Drosophila melanogaster: one gene and its partner. The protein of the gene in region 1 interacts with the protein of each later gene in a pairwise test. Each region holds a gene or a part of one and is shown in the gene's direction. Other genes may lie near its edges.

Region 1 (5,692 bases):
CGCATTTGCCCTGCCATATTGCACATTTCCAACGGTGGGGGGAGTGGCGGTGAGCGGAAACAGAAAAGCTGAACTGATTTTTTTTTTTGGAAGGTGACTGCAGCACTGTACTTTTCGAATAGTAACTCCCCGCGAACAGCTCGACTGGAGCTATATATTCACTATATACTTGAAAGTCACTAAACTCAGTGGCATATATTGGCTTTCCAGGCGTGGGATCACAATATTTTTCGCTATGATGGCGACCGGGCAGCGACGCAACGCACTTTGCAGCGCTGTCGCTGCTCTGCTGGCGTGTGCAATTGGTGCGCGATTTTCCGTCCGCGGTTTTCCACCGTAATCCGTTCATCCGCGACGTGGTTCCTAACCTAGCCGCGACCTGGCGTTGTCTTCTGGCCGCATTTTCACAATTATTACGGATTTTCGGAATCCCGATTGCGCTGCCAGCAGAGGGAACACACATACAAACATTTTCCACGACTAGTGCGGGGGGTTGTTTTCGCTGTTGGCCAACGCAGAGGCTGCAATCCGCACTTTTCCTGATCTATATGCACCGACTTGGCCAGGTGGGCGTCTGCGTTTTGCTAGTTTGTTCGCTTTTCGCTGCTAATTAAACGTTTTCAGCCATCAGAAGTGCCCCTAAACTCACACACTGGCACGCACACAATCGCACTGGGTTCGGGCACTGGGAACTGGGCACCCTACACTGGGCAAAAACTCACTGTCGTCATAGGAAGTCGTTGGAAGACGCGCACGCTCGGTATGTGATCGAAATGAGTGTTCCATAAAACCACCGAGCACGGCACTGGCGAGGTGGCTTTAATGCGAATTTACTTTTCTGATTTCTTTCTCCGATGTCTGCGTTTTTTCCTGCTACATGTGTCCAGTGTGACCCGTCGTCGAAGTGCCGGAAACGTCGATCTGCCCCACAAAAGTTCGGGAAAATACCAGCCACCGTCCGCGTTGTGCAGCACTGGCCTTCAAATCAAACACAGTTTCTTATCGGCGGAGGTCGACGAATCGGATCTCGTCTTATCGCCGACCCCCCGTTTATTGTTTCGTTTCTGTATTAGATTCAAAATCAGTTCGGTCATAGGCGTTACTCAGTCTAGCCGGCGCCGCGTTTAACACTATGCCGGTTCAGGGACAGGACTTGAAACATCCATAGGATCCATCGAGCATATACGCAAGGTTTCCTAAGTACGCTTTTTTAATTAATTTTATGAAATGTGTTTCAATACAGTGGTAAGCTAAAAAAAGAAAGTTTGGCATTCTACAAGAGTGAATTATATTCTAAGTTATTAATATAAGTAAGTGAGCTCTTTTATTGTTTTTAGAATACTGTGTGTTAATTTAAGCCTTGGCTTTAAGAATTTGAATTTGTATAATATATTTAAAATAACCAGTAGACATAAGTATTTAGTTAACGGTAATGCCTATGAAATTGTTGTTGCTCAACTCAACAAATCAGCAGAAAATGAAATAAATACGCAAACTGGTTTCTGTAAAATACATTGTTTATGCAAGATCAATAAAAAAAAAACAAACATCCAAGTTTTAAAGTTCGTAAGATTGAACAAAATGGCGGTTTTCTTGGGAAACGGTATTCTTTGCAACGTATTTGGAGCCGTCGCACTGCGTGATAAAAAAAGTGCAGTCACGGTCACACTGGCGAGCAGAATTTCATACGTTTTTGTTTCCTTTTGGCCATATTTATTATTGTTAAAATTGGAGCAATGCCAGCTGCTGTGCGCAAGTTCCGCCGCGAGACCAGTGAAATCAGCTGCTGTCTGAAGTACCTTTTGTTCGCCAGCAATGTGATCCTGTGGCTCTCGGCCCTGCTGGTCCTCTCCGTTGGCATCTGGGCCTGGAGCGAGAAGGGCATGTTCCGCAACATTGCGCGGCTGCACTTCATCGCCCTGGACCCGGCCTTCGTCCTGATCATCCTGGGAGGCGTCACCTTCCTACTGGGCTTCATGGGCAGCGTGGGCGCCTTGCGCGAGAACACCTGCCTCCTGGGGGCGGTGGGTACCACATTGTTAGTGGATCCCCTCTGGACCTAGTTAATCCTTATTTTTCCGCTTGCAGTACGCCATCTTCTTGAGTGTCTTGCTTATCGCAGAGATCGGCTTCTGTGCCGTGGCCTTCGTGCTCAAGGACAAGGGCTGGGTGAGTTCCATTTGAAGGCCACTATTCTAGCCAGCCATTACTAAGGTTTGCCTTTTCCAGATCAAAGACCAGGCCACCGAGGGACTCAAGGCCTTCATTCGCCACTATCGCGAGGACGCAGACCAGCAGAATCTCATTGATTGGATCCAGGAGGATTGGTTGCAGTGTTGCGGCATTGATGGTCCCAAGGACTGGGACAGCAACAACTACTTCAATTGCTCGTCTATCGCTATTGGCAGCAGGGAGGCGTGCGGAGTGCCATTCTCCTGCTGCCGCAGACGTCCGCAGGAGGTGATCAAGAACAAGCAATGCGGCTACGATGTACGCAAGGAGGGATATGTAAGTCCGCTAGCTGTTTTCCCCCGTCTTTCCGAAATGCATATTGAAATTCACCCACGAATCGTACGCATGCAGCCGGTGGATAGGAATATACATGAGCGTGGCTGCTTGCGCGCTGGCGAGGATTGGCTGGAGGCCCATCTGATTAGTGTGGCGATTGGCTGCGTGGCTCTGCTCGTCCTGCAGGTGCAAAACATTTCTATAGTCGTCGTTGTATATTTCTTTTTGAATCTTTGAAAATTTTAAGTTTAGTGTAGTTCAGATGAGAGAATCGTTTTTAAGGTGGTCCCATTTTTTTTAAAAATATGGTTTTTACTCGTAGTAGTTACATCTTTTTGTTTTATAATTTCCCACAGACTTTATATTTATTTTATTTTTTTAATTTCTTACCAGGGCATGGAGTTGTCCAAAATAATCTACGAAAAGGGCTGTGTTCAAGCAGGCGAAGAATGGATGGAGCACAACTTGATTATTATTTCCGCAACTGTTATAGTTGTGATGTTTTTTCAGGTTTCTGTTTGATTTTATTATTTTTCTCACTATGACAATAGATAGATTCTTCTTGTAACGATACACTTTTTGTAGATCTTGGGCATTTGCTTTGCTCAGAACCTGCGTGCCGATATCTACACTCAAAAGTCAAAGTGGCACTGACAAATGGCTCTGTCTGCTCCCACGGCCATTTAGAAGGACACCCAAGGTGGCGAAGGATTTGGGAAACTTCGAGGTAAGCCACATGGAGCATCCACCAACTTCAAAATAAGAATCTGTATCTACTCATCTACGCTCCGGTTAGTTAACTATACTATAAATTCCTTGTAAACCCATACTAGGGTGAATCGATTTGGATGCACGATAATCGTTGATAGAATCTAGTCAATGATCAATTCCTAATGCTATTGCCAAAGTAACTATGTTCCGGAAATTACGATTCACCCTTCGCTTTTGATCAGAAAACACAAATGCCTATGGTAAACCCTGATTTTCGGGACACACGTTGTATATTGATATTGGCATAAAATGTTCATTGATTAGGTTTCTCTCCCACGATTTATCTATTTTTTGCGTCCATAAAATCGACCCAGTTTAACCCATACCCCCATTTATACTCAAGAGTACGCTATGTGTCTAACTAAAGCAAACGCATTCCGTCTTCGTGGACATTGACTAATATTAACTAGGTTGCCAAATTTGTTGCTGTTTTTACGTCGGCTTCCCTTTAGCCCAAGAACAAATAAGAAAAAGAAGAGCAAAACATTTTAAATAGATTTTCTACACATTTTACAAAGAAAGTGAAAAAGGAGTCATAGGAAAAATGAAAAATTTATCTTGAAATGCAGCTGTGATATATTTTTAAAGAAAAGTATAGAGAAATCGAAATTAAATGCAACAATTTCCAACAAATCGAATGATCACACCACGAATCTCATTCCTAAACTGAACAAATACAACCTAGCACAACACATATTTGTCTTCAAAATAATAGTTATTTTTATAAGCGAGAAACAAAAAACACAGTTCTGTGACAAATGTCAATATCACAGATCGTAAAATGGAAGAAAGCAATACCACTTGCATATTAATATTAATGAGCTTGAACTAAATTTATGCACAACAAATGGTAAGCTTTACAGCATATGAATATATTTTTGCAACACGCAATTATAATTGAGTAAAAAGTAAGCCAATTGCTGGTTTAACTGCTTGATATCGCACTTGTAACATGATTCACAAGGAAAACATTGATTCGCTCTTGTACCTTTTTAAATCTATATTGCAAAGAGACGTAGTATTGGAAAACTCCAATGTTAGTATTATTTATACTATTTCGCAAACATTCTAATCAAAAGCAATGGAGATTATAAACAACACTGCCCCGAACAGAGTATTACGTTTTTGTGTTCACCAAATAGCTGAAAGGTCCAATTAACTGACAATTGGATAACTAAAGAATTTGCCAATCTTAGTCAGTTTAAAACGATAACTAATTCAACTAACAGTATCCAAACGTTTTCCTAAACTGTCTTAAACTTTAAGAACTCAGTCTGCAAACTTGTATTTATAAAACAGTTCATACTTTTATTGCTGTTCAATATTAAACGTGAATAGAAGTCGAAACTCAACGCCTACATTGCTGCAATGCTCAAAAAGACGATAGTTATAATAAAATGCTTTTACCTTAAAAACCATAAGTACATAGAATGTTATTAATGATACAAAATATGCCCAAAAATCTTGTATGTACACTTGCAACTGAGCAATTGGCCAGATGTGGCAGCTAATACACTTTTTGGATATGTAAAAAGTTAACTTTATGGCAGCTATTGGGTGTATATCCTCTTTAGAGTTTTCCATATAAACATCTGGCCAAATTTTCATGTGCAATGTTAAATTACTAAGCCAATAAAATCACGAACATAGTACGATTAATAATGTGTAAAAGCAAAAAAGTTAACATTCTGCTATAATGGTAACGAAAAAAAGTCAATTGAAAATAAGCTGGAGATCGATAAGAGTCAGTCAAGCACAGATCAACAGCATTTATTAAGGCGTATATAAACATAGATTTATAAGAGTTAGAAAATTTATAATAAAGCTTAACGAAGGTTGTTGACACAAGTATCAATCAAAAACGCTTCTAATAAAGAAATACGGAATAACAATGCATACAAGGCTCATCATTTAAGTGGAACATCACCAGACTCTCCGTCCAGCTGAGCAACTGCGTCGAACTGCACTGCAGGTAGATCCTCGCCAGTTGCTGTCTTATTCGCTCGTTGGTACTCAAGGATCACCAGAGAGTTTTCACCCACTTTCAGTATCTCGTTGGGCACATATAAGGTGACCTGTGGACCTGCCACAGGCCAGTAGCGTCCCAAATTAAAACCGTTCACATAGGCCACGCCCTTGCCCCAACCGGCCATGTTCAAATAGGTGTCGCCCACCTCCGTCACTGTCAGGCTGCCAGTGTAGAGTATTGGTCCGTTTCGAAGAATGCGTTGCCTTGCCAGCAACGGGTCCAAGGCCTTCTCGTCAGTGTGTTCGCGCCGCCAGAGCTCGACGGCGGATTGCTCCAGCGGGAAAGCGGTGCTCCGCCAGTTCTCCAGCGGGAGGTAACCACCATTGTGCAGCTGCAGGCTCACCTCACCAAAGATGCCCTTCGTGTCGTTGGAGATGTAGAAGT
Region 2 (2,696 bases), on another chromosome or scaffold:
TTTTGGGGTGGGGGCTGGCGGATTGGGGATTGGGGATTGGGGTTTTGGGGTTCTGTTTTAAGGGGGTGCCACAATTGCAGCAACTTATCTCTCGCCTGCCCATATAAATAATGACAAGCACGACGACAAATAATAACCAAACGCACACAGGACATGCCGCAGGACAATAGGCCTGGGAGAAAAATAGGGTCGAGGTAAGGACGACTACTGTCTGTGAGTGAGTGTGCATAATATGAAAATTTATGTGCGGAAAGGATTGAAAATAAATTTATGAATTATATTGGTTAGAAAATTGCATCTACTCAAGGATATCCTTAATGTCTCCAGGATATGCATGTGTTCAGCTAGGCTTGCTCATTGTTTTTGGGGCTATCTGTTACATTCAACAATGTCCTGATTCAATTTATTGTTTGTTTGATTTGCATTCTGACCGGAGACACTCGCCAGATATGTGCCTGTATATCCCTCTATAGTCGTATATATAAAGTCCTGCGTCCTTTGTGCCATTTGATTAGCGATAACAGCTGCAATTTGCGCCGAAAGTGCTTTTCGAATTATCATTGACAAAAATAAGAATCCTAAAAAGTAACACACGCAGCCAAGGCTTATCGTAAAAATCCAATAAAAGTGGGCCACAGAATTCGGTTTGGGGACTTTTATGATTTTTTCCCCTGTTCCTGCTGACATTTGGTAGTTTATGACTGGATTTGGTTTCGATGCAGAGAGAACAAAAAATAATTCAGTTCAACACGTTTTAACTTTATGCGTACATAATAATAATAATAATAACATTAGTATCTGCTATTTGTATATCTTTTAAGCATTTTAAAAGGAATTTTAGTGTTTTGATATAAGATTTTATATTTGAGATTGCTTGCTTGCTATGTAGCAATGTTTTTTTTTTCAGTGTTGCAAATATGTCAAAGTTCAGTAACCGTATTCGATGGGGGATTTTGAGTAAGGTAAAAGGAACTGGTCATAAAACTTTCCCGACACGTTTATGCCTATCTGGGTTGTGGATCTGAAATCTCAATGCCAATCCAAATATATATCCACATTCTGTGGCAGTTCATCAAATGCTCGACGACAAGTCACGAGCGCTGCAATCTGGAGTGGCTTATGGCATTAGTTATTAGTTGGGGGGTGGTTGGTATATCTGCTTATACAGGAGGATACATTTCATTAGTCAGACATCACAGGCGCATTTTACAGAGACGTGTTTCACTAAGAGACCATGTGAATAAAATGAAAACGGTGTTTGGTACTTTTGGTAAAAAAAAAAAACAATCACCAAAGGCATAAATATTACATATCTCTAGTTTCTCGAAACTTTTAAAATCGCTCAATAAAATTCTATTCGCATTGGAATAAACATTGTTACCTCGACCTAGACCCAAAGAATTAGGTTCATTTGAACTGCAACCGATTCACAGTTGTATGATCGAAAATGAGAGAGCTCCAGTGCACATGATAATTGCAGACGAGTTGAAATAATGTTATTACAAAATCAACACCTCAATTAGATATTTAATGTGACACACCAATTACGCAAGCAATTACAAATATACTCTTAATATATTTGTTTGAAATCGGTTAAACAATTGGTGGCCCATAAAAGCGAGGTGTTCGAGGCCAATGTCAATCATTCCACATCAAGATGCGTTTCTGTCTACTGTTCCTTTTGGCCATGAGCTGCTGTCTGCTGGTAACTTAAATGCTCGATAACATTACAGATTGCGCATATTCGAAATATTCGTGCCCTTTATTCTAGCAATTCTCCGTGGCTGGAGTGAATTTGGTGCGCGGACTGGAGGCTGCCGGTCATCATCGCAACTTCACCGGCTCACCACCACCGCGTGGTGCTCCTCCACCACCTCGGACCACCACCGCCAGTTCTTCGGGTTAAATAAATTGAAAGCAAAACACGAGAAAACTGGCAAAATTTCCATTGACGGACGATTTAAATGAAACCTACCATTATGTAATCCTATAGCTTCAAAAAATATAGAAAAACCATTCCAGCAAAAAAAAAAAAAAAATAGTTCCAGTGTTTTAAACCACAGTTTTAGTAAATATTCGTTTTTATTTATTCGTAATTGGCAATATATCTATCTTATCTCGTTTTAAGATACTGAAATGAATTCATTGAAATATAAAATTCTACATTTTGCACAATTTGCATCATTTATTATCTAAAATCTCTTCGCTTTTGTGAGACTTTCATTATTGATATGTAACGTCTGAAACCATTTGGCCGGACTTCCCGCGCGGCGATTAAAATCGGCATTAATTTGACAAAAGTTCAACGACAAAAAAAAAATGAAATTAAAGCTATCTGATGTTGGAGAGAAAATACAGTATACATATATAGGCTGGGCCATACCCTACATGGCCCATGGTCAGAGGTGAGGCTGCAATTTGTGATCGTATTTGTTGATACAACATATCCAATTGTCCGTCGTCATTGTGGCCAATTGAATGGAGCTGCAAGAAAAGCGAACTATAAAAATGAATGGAAGCGCCGTTGAACACAATCAGTTGTTTGGGGGAATTCTCGGGCCGAGGATCACGATGAGGCAATCCATAAAGCACATATTCGCACTGTTGGTTGCCCTGGAGTGTTTAAGCCTTGGCGACACGGCGCCCATCGGTGAGCATCCGGATCATGCCGGATGTATACGGATAACGATCATCAA

Evidence for each region. Proteins that work in one complex are often made in the same cells at the same time.
Region 2: the proteins of Tsp26A (region 1) and CG32726 interact in a two-hybrid assay, tested with the Drosophila melanogaster proteins (one large-scale study listed by BioGRID).

Annotation. Positions count from the first base shown.
Region 1 is NT_033779.5:5,998,576-6,004,267, forward strand, and holds Tsp26A (tetraspanin 26A), read left to right. Parts: upstream 1-1,652; 5' UTR 1,653-1,736; coding exon 1,737-2,024; intron 2,025-2,088; coding exon 2,089-2,169; intron 2,170-2,229; coding exon 2,230-2,508; intron 2,509-2,583; coding exon 2,584-2,694; intron 2,695-2,901; coding exon 2,902-3,018; intron 3,019-3,093; coding exon 3,094-3,162; 3' UTR 3,163-5,163; downstream 5,164-5,692. Other genes in the region: Gal (beta galactosidase), read right to left, coding at 5,187-5,692.
Region 2 is NC_004354.4:7,424,688-7,427,383, reverse strand, and holds CG32726 (uncharacterized protein), read left to right. Parts: upstream 1-1,640; 5' UTR 1,641-1,657; coding exon 1,658-1,705; intron 1,706-1,771; coding exon 1,772-1,906; 3' UTR 1,907-2,164; downstream 2,165-2,696. Other genes in the region: CG15036 (uncharacterized protein), read left to right, coding at 2,572-2,696.